2 linked regions of the Danio rerio genome follow. The protein of the gene in region 1 purifies or fractionates together with the protein of each later gene. This does not show direct contact. Links are inferred from orthologs where the notes say so. Each region holds a gene or a part of one and is shown on either strand. Other genes may lie near its edges.

Region 1 (8,277 bases):
GTCCTCTGATCTATCACAGCGTTTATCCAACTTCATACCAATCAGAAGAACAACACACAAATACATATAGTACTCACTTGATATTTGAAATGAAACTACCAACGAAAACAGCCTAAGCTGGGTTTTGCCAGTCTGAGTGGCCATTGCGATATACGAGTGTACACGGGGAATAAAACATTTTAAGGTTAATCCACTTTCAATCACATCCAGTGGTAGATAAAAACACATCCTGGATTGCTCTTGTAGTGTAAACTGTGTACCAATTCTTGTGGTGTAATGTGGTCCAACGTGTTCAATCAGCGACAAAATAGTAATTCTTAAACTAGATGCTGTGTTACTAAAGCACAACCCATGCTGTAAATCAGCTAAAGAAACAGAAATGCCCGATAAAATAACAGATTATTGAATTTGATTAAAGAAAACTGCCAGTTTTTGGTACTGCAAATCTTTTTTAAACTAACTAGGGCATAAGTCTAAAACTCGATTCCTGGAGGGCTGCCACTATGCACAGTTTTCTCTGACCCTAATCAAACACAGCTGACGCAACTAATTAAGATGTTCAAGACTACTAGAGACTATTAAGCAGGTGTGAGTTGGTGATGGTTGGAGCTAAACTGTGCAGAGCTGCGGCGCTCCAGGAATTGAGTTTGAGACCATTGGACTAGGGGGAGAACGGCCTTAACTGCTATAACAGGAATTCGCTTACTCCCATGAATCTGTTTTGGCAAAGACTTGTATAACGGATCCACTGAAATCCCGAAGGGTAGTAGCACCCCAAATAGAGGAGACGAACAGCTGATTGGTATTGAACTGGTTAAACTTCATGCCTGTTATTGCATCTCCAGGACCCATCTAGATGAAGAGCAGAGGAGAAAATCTCAAGTCACTAAAACTGCATTTTTTAAAAGTTTTTCTGTATTTGTGTGCTAATCTGAAAATGTTGAACTTTACTTTTACTTCTGAAGATGTTTAAATGGCTAGGTTGCCTTAATGCCGTTTCAATACCCTGAGACCTTTGTTCATTTTCTGAACATTACTACTATCTACTGAACACAAATTATGATATATTAGATAACATACGAGATCCCCTTTGTTCTGCATGGATATCAATGGTCATGTGATGTTCAAGTATAAGTAAATGACCAAAAACCTTGTCAAGACACTCCATGTAACTTCAGTGGTGATGTAAACATATGAAGCTTCGAGAACTCTTTTGTGCACCAAAAAAAGGTCAAAACTATTATGTTTTGCCAATGTCTTCCACATCAAGTCAGAAAATCTCGAGACTGTTGCTGTCTATGGAAGGTTAGAGAGCTCTCGGATTTCAACTAAAATATAAATTAGTGTTCTGAAGATGAACAAAAGTCTCAGAGGATCGGAGCACTATAAGTGTAAGTAATTATTACCAGAATTAAAAACAGAACTCTTAAAGAGTATATAACTAACCATAAGACTATTAAGTACATTAATCTGAAAAGGAAACAAACATAAACTTAAAATGAATTAGCTTCGAATAGACCCCAGTGTCTATAGTAGGGGTGCCCAAACTCGATCCTGAAGGGCCGGTGTCCTGCAAAGTTTAGTTTTAATTCCAATCAGACATACCAGGTCTAGCTAATCAAGCTCTTACAAAAAATTGTGTCCGAAATCGTATACTTCCACACTATATAGTACACTAAAACAGTATGCAAGCCAAGTAGTATGTCTGATATCATAGAATTTAATAAACAGTATGCGAGAAGTACCCAGATGACCTACTACTTCCGCCGGCTGGAAGTGCGATATGCACATTAATATAGCAGCCTTTTTTATGACACTGTGTGACAATAATTAATATCTGTACAGTACTGTGACGGTTGGGTTTAGGATTGGGGTAGACCTTAATAAAATACAATAAATGGGAAATTTAATAAATAATATAAACAATTCTTGTTAACTTCTGGCGGCAACTATATCCGATCTAGCAACAACCGCTTTAGATAGACGCTACGATATTCCATGATACACCACAAGAGAATTTATGAATGGAAGCGACGCAACTGACACAGGTAGGTCACATGATGATGACAAAGGCCACACTGACACTGTCAGGTCTTGATGCCCAATTTTGATTTGTTGCCGATATCTGATTTTTTTGCCTGTCCGTAGCCAATTCATATGTTTACACTTGCCATACAATTTACGCTGTTGGCACGCGTAAAGGCGGGTTCTAGCATCTGTGCCACACTAGCCATGATGGAAGAAGTTGTCTTGCTTTCAGCTCAGCGAAATATGCAAAGTTCGCCCAACTTTAATATGATTTTAAGGCGGAGGAAGAGAAGGAGGGAAAGAGCTGTCATTACATGCTTGCGCCTATGGTTTATATATGGTGTCCTCCACCATTCAGAGGGATCTGTGGCTACGACAGAGATCTCATGTCTGGTGGGAGCAAATTGTGGCGGGCTTTAATGAGGAGTGGCGGGTCTGAAATTTTAGGATGAGCACACACGCTCTTCCTTCTATGTCATTAAACCGCAGAGAAGTACAACATTGTCAGAATTTTAATGACGTACATAACGAAATGCCGCAATAAATCCAATCTGCTTCTTTACATGATAGTCGCATTGCCACATATCTGATTTACAGTATGTTAGTTTTATTTTCACATATGATGGAGGCCTGAAACTGATATCCGAATATCTGAATGCATTCATTTACACCAGGGGTCACCAATCTCGGTCCTGGAGGGCCGGTGTCCCTGCAGGGTTTAGCTTCAACTTGCCTCAACACACCTGCCTGGATGTTTTAAGTATACCTAGTAAGACCTTGATTAGCTTGTTCAGGTGTGTTTGATTACGGTTGGAGCTAAAATCTGTAGGGCACCAGCCCTCCAGAAACAAGTTTGGTGACCACTGGTTTACACGGTCATAGAACAGTATTTGGGTCACATTTAACTGGCAGTGTAAACGTGGTCAAAATGTCGAATGTAGTACATCCGAGTTTTATTCATATTAGTGACATTCATAGTGTATAGAACATACTTTTCTAACGGCCGAGTAGTTCATTTAAAGTCAAATGCAGTACCTACTAAGTAGCAGGCAATTATAGACACAGCCAAGCTTTCTAGAAACGTCCATGCAGATCTGCTGAGACAAGTTGGAGCTAAAATTTGCAGGACACCAGCCCTCCTGGACCAAGCCTGGGCACCCCAGGTCTATTGAATTTGAAAACTGATGTGACACTTAAAAATGAAGGTTATGTATACTTTACACAAATTATATATACCGTCTAGTGTCTAAATGTCTTGGTTAGATTTGAACAATACATTCGTCACTTTTCAATTCATCTCACCCCTTGTATGAAAGAGGTTTTATTCAGCACATCATAATCCCACAGGATGATGTCTCCACCCTTTGATCCCACTGCAACGGTGGTGGGATGTGTGGGATGCCATTCCAGACTAGTGACCCTCCTGTCAAAGGGACTGGCAGTTCGGTGCAGCTTGTAAGATTTAAGTGAGCGTATGAAAGGCTCTTGCAGACACTGTAACACAAGAAACAATGTTTTATACGACCAGGTTCAGATATAAATAGGAGTTTGTGGCAAATATGTCACCAAAATGAACAAATGCCAAAGTTAAGACAAGAAGGGGGAAATTATGTTTTTTACTGTATAGTTGAAATACATATGCTGCATAATTCTGCAGTCATGTACTAAGCTTCTTTAAAAATGTATGATTTTCATACAACATTAAATCATTATTTAATATGGGTGGCGATATCTAACATTCTAGCGAGTAACTGGTGTACTTTAATCTTCTTTCCCCAAACTTCAATTGTCATTACCTGGCGCAGTTGAGCATGGATACTCTGTCCCAATGAACTTTTGTAAATGTAATGAAGAATGCTTGTTTGGCCCACTTTCTTTTGACCTCCTGTCCATTTCACACTTGCTTGTATATAGGTTTCTGGTACACAAACACAGTTTACCTCATAAGATTACATTAATGAGTGGTTCAACTTTTTCTTTGCACATTTAAACCCAATCAATTATATAACTTAACTCGCAGTTTCGCTTACCTTCTTTTTGTTTGCTCTTATGTTGTTGTTTAGCTTTCAGCTTTTTGGTGGAAGGTTGCGGAGTTTCTTCATTCGGTCTTTTCTTTGAATTGACAGTCTTCGTCTGCTTCGATGCAGCAGAGTCTGTCTGAGCTCTTCCTCGCGCCATTGCAAAGCTACTTTCTGATTGGAAAGGGTCAACAAAGACATGTCATATAGCAATTGCATTACTCGTGAGAACAAAATATAGATAATGACCCGTTCGACTACAATCATGCACAACGTTACCTTGTCTTTCTTTCAAGTGTTTAAGGATACATCCGCCATGAGACCCAAAATTGGCCAGATCAACACCGCACACGTGCACAGACACGAATTTTCACTACATTCAGTGACGTAGAAGATTGAATGTTTTGTAATCGTTGAGTGCGATAAACAATTTATCCACTAGGTGCCGCTAGAGCCTATGTTGGCAGAGGAAGACTGAGCTAATCATGATTTTTTAAAATTAACATTAGTAACGGGATGCATAAAACATTCATGTGTATTAATATTGCGTGACTTGAAAACAAATTATACAAATTCATTGTACAGCTACATAAGTGTGTATACATGCCAATACATGAAAGAAAAACAAATATTTAAAGAAAATCCAATAAAAAATGTATCAAAAGAAATAAAACATAAAGAGATTTGATAATTTAAAAGTAATGATTATAATGATATTATTATTTCAGCAGTACAGTTGTTTTGGCAGCTTTCTTATTTAACTATGGGCAGATAGATTAGATAATCATGCATGGCAATTATAGTTCAGAAAAATAACAGAAATGTAACAGAAATAATCAAATTATTACATTTAAAAAAATATATTTAAACTTTGGTTATATTTGCATACATTTTGTTTTACAGTTTTTAAAAATCAAGAACCACAATATCAGCTCAAAACAATTCTAAATGTCTATAAAATCTTCTTAAATGTTCTACTAAAGAATTCACTCAAAAATGATTTTGGCTACTTTCTTTAAACTACTTATTTCAAATGAGCTGAATCAACACAATTCTTGAGGTTTTTGGGGACAACTTAATTGAATAAACTTAATTGATTTGTGTTTTTTATTTATTTTGTTTTAAATTTTTATTATTTTTATTTTATTACTTTTTATTTATTTTTTATTTAAGCATATAACTGACAAGCATACAGGATTATACGATGACATATGTAACAGTATATATACAAATTATTAGTCAGAATTATTTGCCCCCCTTAGGATTTATTTTTTTCTTTTTTAATTATTTTCCAAGTTATGTTTAACAGAGCAAAGAAATTTTCACAGTATGTCTGATTATATTTTTTCTTCAGGATAAAGTTTTAATTGTTTTATTTCGACTATAATAAAATTTGTTTTTAATTTTTAAAAATCCATTTTAAGGTCAATATTATTAGCCCCTTTAAGCTATATATTTTTTTGATAGTCTGCAGAACAAACCATCGTTATACAATAACTTGCCTAATTACCCTAACCTGCCTAGTAAACCTAATTAACCTATTTAAGCCTTTAAATGTCACTTTGTGCTGTATAGAAGTGTCCTGAAAAATATCTAGTCAAATATTATTTACTGTCATCATGGCAAAGATAAAATAAATCAGTTATTAGAAATAATTATTAAAACTATTATGTTTAGAAATGTTGAAAAAAAATCTTCTCTCCGTCAAACAGAAATTGAGAAAAAAATAAATAAACAGGGCTCTAATAATTCAGGGGGGCTAATAATTTTGACTTCAACTGTATGTATGTATATATATATATATATATATATATATATATATATATATATATATATATATATATATATATATATATATATATATATATATATAATTTCTTTTCATTATTAGAGATGTTTTATAGTCTTCTTGTTTCTTGTAATAGAGGTCAAAGAATTATAAAATATTTTAAAATCTTTACAGAAAAACTTAAAGGGGGAGTAATAGTCATTGCCTTTGCATGTGAAACTTCTCAAGTGTTAGGACAACATGAAGGAATGGTGTGCATTTTTTTCGATTGTAAATGTAAATAGGCCTAACTATTTTCGCTTTTGGATACTTAAAAACTGTAGTCAAACTAAAAAAATCTGTAGTTGGTGCAGTAAAAAGACGTGCTTTACTAACCTTCACTGCACGTTGATTAAAGTCTCAGTTCAAGCTAAATTATTATAAGAGCTTGATAACAGTATATCCTATAAAACAACCATATATTTCCATTTATTTTTATGCTTTATTTTTTGAACATGAAAATTAATACAATAATTAAATAAAATAATTGACAGCAGTTTTCAAGTAAATATTTTTTAAAAATATGAGATACAAACAATTACAGGGGCAGACCACTCTCTGCAGTGAGAGATTTGAGCGTCTTGGATACGGCGCGTTCAGGATGTGTGTACTGACCAATCACAGAAGAGCAGGGACTTACAGCTGACAACGAAAACAAAGAAAGGCATGTTTTCCTCCCACTCGCCACTCTGTGTGTCAGGAGGGAAAACTCAAACATTCACTGTATGTTGTTTATTCAGTTCACACACACTGAACGCCGAAACCACATCTCCATATGACGGTAAGTGTGCCAACAAACACACTTGAGCTGTAAATATCTATGCTGTTGTTTTTGAGAAATAAGTGGTGTTTTATTAAAATATATATTTGATAGAATATTGATCTGGTATAATATTGTTTTAATCTCGGTGTTGGTTACATGATTACCTGAATAAGTAGGCTACTTTACCTGGCATTTTCAGTGTGAAATTAGGCCACGTGCTGTTCATTGTGAGAAATGAGCTTTACTTCAAATATACAATCGCGTGTTTGCACAGAAATAATGCTTTTTTACATAATTAGACTAGGTATTTTTCTGGCCTCAATTGTCCTGACATGTTTTATCATACGTTAATCAAGCCAATTTTTGAAATCAATATGCTATAAACAATGGTTTTACCATGCAATTAGGTGTATGATTTGTTGTTGTTTTTTTTCTGCCTGAAACAAACAAGTAAACGCGTTCTTTTGTTGGTTTATTTTTTTTGGCATTTTTGTTACTTAAATATATTCATAGTTTTGTGATTGCCAAATACAACAAAAATGCATCTCATTAAAATGACATTTCACAGTTCAGGTGATGAGTAACATTTATTGGGCATTGTAGATTTATTGTACTTTTTTTTTTCAAAATGATGTGTGTTAATATGACACATTTTATGCTATGTGTATTGTGATTGTTAAAAAACAATCACAGCTTCCACATTTTGATAAGTGTATGATCCATTCATTAGCCTATATTTTAGTTTCATTTTGTGTCAGATTTGGTGTAATTCTATTGTACTGTTGTTGCCAAATGCAACAAAATTGTACCTCATTGTTCAGCAATAAATGATTGATATTGTAGAATGCAGGTGATATACTTGGATTACTTAATTAATTAGGCTATATGCAGATATTTTACCTTGTATGTATATTCCCACAGAATCATTTCAGGTTCACAAGTCATATGTTATTTTTTATACACATCTCTCCACTGTCTGTTAAACAATGATTAACCAACTGAAAGCTTGACTACCTACAGTAACAACAAACGTGTCAAGTTACTGTATTTAAGCGGTAAAGACGTACCCCTTCTTTCGCCTCAGCTCAGCTCTCCATCTTTAGGTTAATGATCATCTAACATTTTTGAACTTGAGGCAGAGATGGCAATTTTCATGTAGTTATTCTTTGGTGAGAATAAATATGAGCATAATGGGAGTTTAATGATTAAATATGTGTTTATTTAAGCAGGTGAAATTGCGGTCAAAAGGTTTATGACAACGATTAAAACCCTATCTATAGCTCTGCTGCTCACAGCACCTATTGGAGAGATTTAGTTCCTTCTTGTATCCTAAACAACCTGATTAAACAGCAAAATGGGCTTGCATTTTAAGTAGTTTTAATGTGTTTTACAGTATTCATAGTTTCAAAATGTCATCTTGAAATCATTATCTCTTGTGTGCACTCTTAGGGAGAGGTTTACAGAACCATCCTGATTTGGTGACTGGACTGGGAAATACCATAATTAAGGAGAACACTACTAAAAAGAAGACTTCAAAAGAAACAATCAGGGAGCTCTTTACATGGCAGATTGTCTCTCCTCCTTGTGATTTCTGCGTCTTCTAATATGCTCAATCTCATCAAGCTACCTCAAGTGTTCAC
Region 2 (7,630 bases), on another chromosome or scaffold:
CTCCCTCAATGGTTCATAACGCTCTCTGTACATAAACAGAAAGACAGTACTTCAGTAAGGTTTAGATTTGAAGGATGGCAACACTTAAGGTGTTGAATCGAAAATTTAAACAGATGCAGGAAATGTGCAGTATTTAGTGCTGCATTTAAGGAGACAAAGACATTACCATTTTAAGAAGTAACACAAAGGTCGAAAATGCTTATTTAGCACATTTACAAAAGATTCAACATCAGGCGAACTGCTATCTTGGTGTTGAGGGACAAAAATGACAACAAAACCTCTTCAAAGAGGAGATTAAAAGCAGAGGGATTTGAAATCTCTTCACCTTTACATCACGTCACCTCTGTGGCATTTAGCAAGATGGGATACAGACATAACCCTTAACCTTTGGAAAAAGCAGACTGATTAGGGAAGGCCAATAGCTTTTTACAAACATCTGTCAAAGAGGAGGTAAAATCTGGCTTTTGTAAATCTTCCTCAGGGGTGCTTGTTTTATTTGAAAGACTAAAGGAAACACCATCATAACAACACCAATTTATCATTTGTCAAGTAAAAAAAATCTTTCAAAGAGTAAATTTCAGTTTTCTTTAGCTTAACAAATAGCTTAGCAATTTCATGCGGGCACCAGCTGCTCCATAAAGCCTGTGTCTGTGACCTCTGACAGCTCCTGATGTTCAGCTGGTCTGCATTTATTACTGTTTGATGTCATGTAAGGTCAATGATGATCTCAGAACACCACACATATCCTTTGAAGTTTTTATGTACTTGTTTAAAGAGCAAAAAACTATACAATATAAAATAAATGTAAAAGAAAGGATAATTGGGCTGGACCAAGCAATAATTAAAAGCAGGTCTGTGTGTTTTGTTTCAACACATTTACCTCTCAGGAGTACCATTTCTTAGACTACTATGGAAACACAAAGAAATTCCTGAGCTAACAAATTAGGTTTCTGTCAGTATTTCAGCATTTTGTCTTTATAATACTCAATGCACTTGTGCATTGAGAAAATCATTCTCAAATCATCTCCCATGGCCTTACGGTAAAATAAATTCTTTATACAAGTGTCCAATGTTTTCTCCCATGTTGCTCAGACTGGATATGACCCATGATCATGTGAGCAAAAAACACATGTGGATTCTGATATTCTCAGTGGAAATTACAAGCGTGTATTCAGAATTTCTTACCCGAATGGACAGAAGCATTATTCTCTGTTTTTGTTACTTTGAAAGCAATCTCCACATAACTTTGAAGACTGATAAGACTGTGTATTAAATGTATGGTCATAGATATGCAGTGTGATATATTTAATAAAACTAATAACGTTGACCGATTTTAAACATTGAAATGTGTTGTAAACGTAATTTTTCAACGGCTTTGTACTCCATTGGCACATAAACATCTCCTTTTGTGTTCAACAGCAGAAAACGAGTTTTGAAAAAGCAAATGTTGAGCAAATGATAGCAGTGCTTTACATTAAAGGTGGTGCAGGAGAAATGGTTTTAAACCTTTTAGTTTCAGGGTCAGTACATCTGCAACGGTGTACAGCATATAAGAAGGTAGCAGATAAAGGTCACTTTAAAGGTGTATACAGTTTTTTCAAAACATAATATATTCAACAAACTGGAATTAGGAGTCAAACCCTGTTTTGTAAATGTAGCCAAACTGTCCATCGGATGCACACTTTGAATCTCAGCCATCCATATTTGGACACACTACTTAGTTTACTGAATGTTTTATGCCTGTCATATAATCAAAGATGCAAATTGACACAAGATTAACATTTCAAGAAACTAAAGACATTTATCGTGAAGATAACATTTAAGGTCAAACAATCAGTAAAAATGAATGGTGTTAATTTCTCACAGTACCATATGTGTCGGTTGTTTCAGCACATATGGAGCTTTTATCCTTAAGCTGAAAGGACATGACGATAGCCAACAGCTGGTATGTTTCCTCTTCTTTTTCAAAACCACTCTGCGTGAGAAACCAAGGAAGCGGTGCAAAACATCTGAACAGCAGACAGAGATGCACTGTCAACAAAACACTTGTCAGACAGTGGAAAACATCTTAAATACAACTGTGAGCCACCCAAAATAAGCTGTCGGTTGTTAGCACTGCTAAACAATACCTTCAAGACAAAGGGTTTTTTCTTTTTTTCTGGACAATCATAAAAACCTACTTACTTGCAGACTTGCATGGGCCTATTTTCTAGATTAAGAAAGGTAAAATACCCACACACATTTGGTTTAAAATTTGGTCGACGTATTGCAAGCCACCTTGATTCCCCGCTAATTGTATAAAATCTTATAAAATGACATCAGGCATATGAACAAATCATAATGAGGGATTTTGTTTGACACGTAAAATTAAACTAACAGAAACCACCAGAACAATGTGCATAAAGTGAAGTATTTATGCCAAAAAATAATAATTTACAATATTGACAGCATACTCCAAAGCAGATTTGTACATGTAAAACTATTTGGGAATTGTCCTATATCACTGTGGCTGACGGGTTCAAGAAGCAAAACAGGAAAGAGAGCGACAGCAGTTCCATCACTGGACAGGACCGGATTCGTGAAGGGTCCTGGACACCAGAATCTTTCTTCTGAAAAACAGAGTATCTGAGAGAAGGTGAGGAAGAGGATGGGAGAGGGCGGAGTGCTTATCAGTTCTCAAGAAAAGCCACGTAGTCGGTAAGTCTGGCCAGCTGTTGTTCGTTTGGAACCAGCGAGACCGGAGGCGGATCTGGAGAGAGGGGAAGGCAGACGAGAAACATGAGAGATGAGGGGATTCCTTCAAGCGCTCTATGATCTGCTGTATAACACACAGACATATGAATGTAAACAAAGATGTGCCGCAGAACAAATGCATGAATACGTGTGCAAGAAAGAGAGTCCACTACAGATGCAACAGCTCCAGAAAAGAAAATTGTCATGGCAACCATGTTGAATTAATAAACATCAGCTGCTTGTAGTGAAAGCTGCAGGTCATCAGTACTGGGAAACATTTCTCAATCATCAGTTACCCAAATGCATTACAGACATCTGCACTGTCTCACGAGGCCCGTGCAGAAACCCAGATGCTGCTTGTTCCTGTTCTTTTGGAATAAATGTGTCTCGTAAAAAGTTTGCTCAGTGGTTCCAGGCAAACACATAAAAAGCTGTGTGCAAAAACAAGGCAAATAGCTGCATCGTTCAGAACCATGAGCTAAAGGTGAGCAGGATCTACAGAGATTCTTGTCAGTTACAAAATGAAGGCATATTTGAGAGTCGGAGAACAAAGAACATAAGTGGAATCGAGGTGAAGTCACCATTTCATGTGCTTGTTATGAAATAACCGTGCAGAACTCAATGGAATAAGTTTCTGTTCAGAGGAGGGGCAATGAATGAAACCTTATGGAGAAATGAGTCATAAAGTTGAAAAATAACATCTGTTCTTGCTAGTAATAAGAAGTGAAACAGCGCCCCCACCTGGTTTCTGTGGCATGATCATCCTGGTGTTTGGATCTGCCTGCCACCCATGACTTACTACACCTTGAGCAAAAAACAAAAGAACATTTAAATGACAAAAACATTACATTATATTTCTTTGCAAAAGACCATAAAGAAAGACATGAACTAAAAATTAATGGTTGGAGTAAAAATAATAATAAACATATGAAAGTCCAAGCAATGAGCACTCAAATCTCAAAAACACGCACCTTTGACGGCCTCTTCTACCGAGTATCCCACAAAAGCAGCAAAGTCTTCTGCACTGATAGAGGTGTAAGCTTGAGCCACTAGCCCATATGCCCTCCTACGAGTTGACTCTACAAGAAACACAAAATAAAGAAAAAGATTTTTAAAAAGGTTATTCTTGTTTTTGTTTTTTCAGCATTTTGGTTTCAAACACTATTTTTTAGGAATCTGTGGCCATCGTTTATACTAGGGCTGCACGATATTGGAAAAATATAACATTACAATTCTTTTTTTATTCTGCGATATATATTGTGATAAAAATAGAATTTCACTTAGATCAGTTGAATAACTATTTGAAATGAATGTATTATTATCTACAAGCATAAATAAATTGAATAAAGAAAAAAACACAAAATAAAAATATATATTTATTCATAAAGCATTTTATTGTTTTCTGAGCAGTAGAACTGTATTCAGGTATACAGTAATTGAATAATCAATTGTAAAATATAACATAATAAATTATAATCCAGACTCATCATTGCATATACTTGTAATGTGACTTTTGTGAATGATCACATTGCGATATCAATGCTAAAACGATACACTGAGCAGCCCTAGTTCATACATGTCTAACTAATATGGCATTTCTTACATATGTTGAACAATTATGCCATAAACTTATGGAATGGGCAACTTACTTTGTTTCACTTGTCAATACCACCAAAAAATAGTGGCGCCCATTCACATGAAAAGTATCAACATAATAAAAGCAAAGTACATTTTTAGTTACAAGATGCCCTATTCACAACTGACCAAAGAATTATTAGTTCAATCTAGAATTGAAGTCAGTAAGATTTTTTATTTAATTAAATATTTGTATTTTTTTTTTTTTTTACTTTAATCATTAATTTAATCAATAATACACTTTGAAGTATTACATTTTATTTATTTACCAAATTGAAGAGACTAAAAAGTAAAATTATGGGAAAAATTTTTGCTTTCATTTTGAGCAAAATAAAATTACTTCAATACCATCATATGCATTCATCTCTTAAAAATTTTCCTTTAATTTTTTAATCCATTTTATAATGAAATGACTCAAACTGAGGAGACATAACATGATTTAAGAATAGCATAATTCCCACACATAATTACATAAAGCAGAGAAACAAATGAAATCATTACTGAATAGTCATTATGCATACTAGATTGTCACTTAATGTTTCTATAGGACAAAAAACATTTTCTGTCATAATTATAATAATTATCTAATACATAAAATTAATCATTATTTGCATGCATGAACAACAAAAGTAAACATTTCAGATATATAATATTTTGTTTAAAATGTTATAAATTAAACATCTTTATTTAGATGTTTGTCCTATTAATGGGCAGAAGTCAAATGCTTACAGATACTTCCAAACATCTTCAGCTCTTGAACTAAATAAATAGCTCTCTCATAGCAACAGTGTTTACTTACAGCTACTTGAATGCAACTCCAGAGAGGTCAGAAGTGGCTACAAGACTGCCGTTTTAAAATTTAAAGGCAGACATGTGCATGTTATGCAGGGATCTTTAAATCAAAATTATTAGCCGTTATTATTGTATAATGATGGTTTGTTCTGTAGACTATCGAGAATAAATATAGCTTAAAGAGGCTTATAATTTTGTCCCTAAAATGGTGTTTTAAAAATGTAAAACTGCTTTTATTCTGGTCAAAAAAATAAATAAAATAAAAATAAGACTTTCTGCAAAGGGGGCTAATAATTCTGACTTTAACTGTATATATAATGAAGAGCTGCTGAGCAAGGCAGAGACTGGATGGTGGGTGGTGGTAAGGGAAGCAATGGCCATCTGTCCTCTTCTGGTATTCTACCCCAGAGCCATATCTCATCCTCTTACCTTTTAAAAATAGCATGTGCCTTTAGCCAGAGAAGACAGTTGAGAGCAAAGAGTGCACAGAGTTTACTTGTGTACAGTTACCTCTGATTAACTCCAAGACTTCCATTGTATCTTTAAATGTGAATGTTGATTTGTACAGTACGTATGAACAATAAATAAATGTAAAAACTCAAATCTCAATTTTCAATTTTATTTATTTTCAAACAATAAAGAACATTAAAAAACAGAGTAAACTGAAAATACAGAACTAGTAACAACAGACTGCAGAAATAAACAACAGTGACTCATTTCTGAGCGAAACAAAAGTAGGAAGATAACTTTTAAGAACAACAGCAGCATTTTGACTAAATTATAAAAAGTATAAAAAATGGCACCTAGTTATTTGGAAATATTCTTTTGATTATACATGTTGAAATGACAACACTGCTTAGCAGTGAAATACGAATATTAAAACTTCTATTTTCTCATTTGTCAATGACCTTGCTAAACCTTCCTAAACCTCTTCTTTTCTTCCAACTTATTTACTCCTCTTCTTGATCTTCAGCGTCTTCAAATTCCTCATCATCCTCTCCTCCAAAGTCCATCTTGGACAACAAAGTCTCCACCTGCTCCGTATCCAAAGTGAAATGGTCCATTCTTTCAAAGCCTGGCTCGGGCCTTTCTTCAGCAAGTGAGCTCTTTGCTGCGTCTTTTGTCTGGGAGATCAGGTTCTTGGAGGCCTGCAGGAACTCTGCGGCACCACTTTGCTCCAGAGCCTGAACTGCCATGTCTGTTAACTCTGTGGCTGCCTGAAGACGGTCCCCATAACGCCTAGCCAAACTCCTGAGTGCACCAACCTTCTCGTCTTGCTCTTTGCCAATACGCTCTAAGAGGGCATTTTTACGCTCCTCCAAGGCTGCATAGAGGGAATCGAAGCATTCGCCAAGCTTTTGTTTGGCACGTTGAGCATTGTCCTGAACAGCTGTGCAGGCCTCCTCCATCTGGTTAAGCAACGCCTGAAGGCGGCCATTCCCCGCCACAAGAGCATCAATGGCATTGCTCAGCTCTCCCTTTTGAGCCTGATAGACACTAGCAAGTGGTGACACCTCACAGTCCTTATGCTGGCCAAATACCTTACACATGGAACAAGTGGGAGTTTGGTGAGTAACGCAGTAGATGTTGATCTTCTCGTCCTCGTGTTCTTGACACATTAGCTCTTTGGAGCTTTTGGGTTTTATTGGACTTTCAGTGGTGCTGCCACCACCTCCTCCACCACCCTCTTGTTGCTGTTTGTAAATGTCGATTATGTTCTCAACAAGAAGATTCCTCTGAAGTCCATGCACACCATGGCGATCAAGAACCACTTCAAATCGACAAGTTGGGCACCGAAAAACACCACCAGAGAAACGATAAGGGTTTCGAGAGTCATAAAGATCACTAGCACATCCTCGACACAGGTTATGCTGACACGGCAGGATGACCACTGGTTTGGTAAACATGTCCAGACATATTGGGCAGCTTAGCTGTTTCTCAAGGCTCTCCATCGAGTCAGGAGTCCCCAACAAAGAGGCAGTTCGCTGAATGTCCATGTTGGTGGTTGCTCTGGCTCCTTTTGCTGTATCACTTTAGTGGCGTTCTCCTTGAAAAATGAGGTTAAAAACAAGCTGCTGCACACAGCAGTAAATGATTCCCTGCAGTTGTCAGATCTATTCTGGAACAGAGTTCCTTTGCTCTTTATACCACCCTCAGCCAGAGGGTGACATACCATTCCTCCAACCAATCAAAGCACACATTCCTATCCACTTGTTTTCAAGATTCATTTTTGGACATGAAAAAAGCCCCCACCCTTTTAAACCCTCATGATGATACCATAACACCTTCACCCTTTCCTGTGCAGTGTTTCCAGTAAAATTTCCTTATTGAAATATTTGCAAGAAGACAAACAAGTTTTATGTCAAGAAAACAAACTTTGTCTTTGTCTAAAAACACTCTTTGAGCTTGTATTATACATCTCTAGATAGGAATATTGGAGCGGGAAAATGCTAAATTGTACTTTATCAAT

The links. Proteins that work in one complex are often made in the same cells at the same time.
Region 2: the proteins of ddb2 (region 1) and cops8 purify together in Homo sapiens (affinity purification with mass spectrometry; 6 studies listed by BioGRID and IntAct, counting the BioPlex papers as one, with this or other methods). This does not show direct contact. The link is inferred for Danio rerio from reciprocal best matches to the Homo sapiens genes DDB2 and COPS8.

Annotation. Positions count from the first base shown.
Region 1 is NC_133193.1:21,852,988-21,861,264, reverse strand, and holds the start of ddb2 (DNA damage-binding protein 2), read right to left. Parts: upstream 4,475-8,277; 5' UTR 4,326-4,474; intron 4,221-4,325; 5' UTR 4,207-4,220; coding exon 4,059-4,206; intron 3,947-4,058; coding exon 3,825-3,946; intron 3,523-3,824; coding exon 3,331-3,522; intron 853-3,330; exon of another isoform or gene 713-852; coding exon of another isoform or gene 707-712; intron 1-706.
Region 2 is NC_133184.1:25,519,554-25,527,183, reverse strand, and holds the end of cops8 (COP9 signalosome complex subunit 8), read right to left. Parts: intron 7,279-7,630; exon of another isoform or gene 7,158-7,278; coding exon of another isoform or gene 6,111-7,157; exon of another isoform or gene 5,766-6,110; intron 3,813-5,765; coding exon 3,705-3,812; intron 3,538-3,704; coding exon 3,475-3,537; intron 2,750-3,474; coding exon 2,670-2,749; 3' UTR 1,776-2,669; downstream 1-1,775. UniProt on the Homo sapiens protein: Component of the COP9 signalosome complex (CSN), a complex involved in various cellular and developmental processes.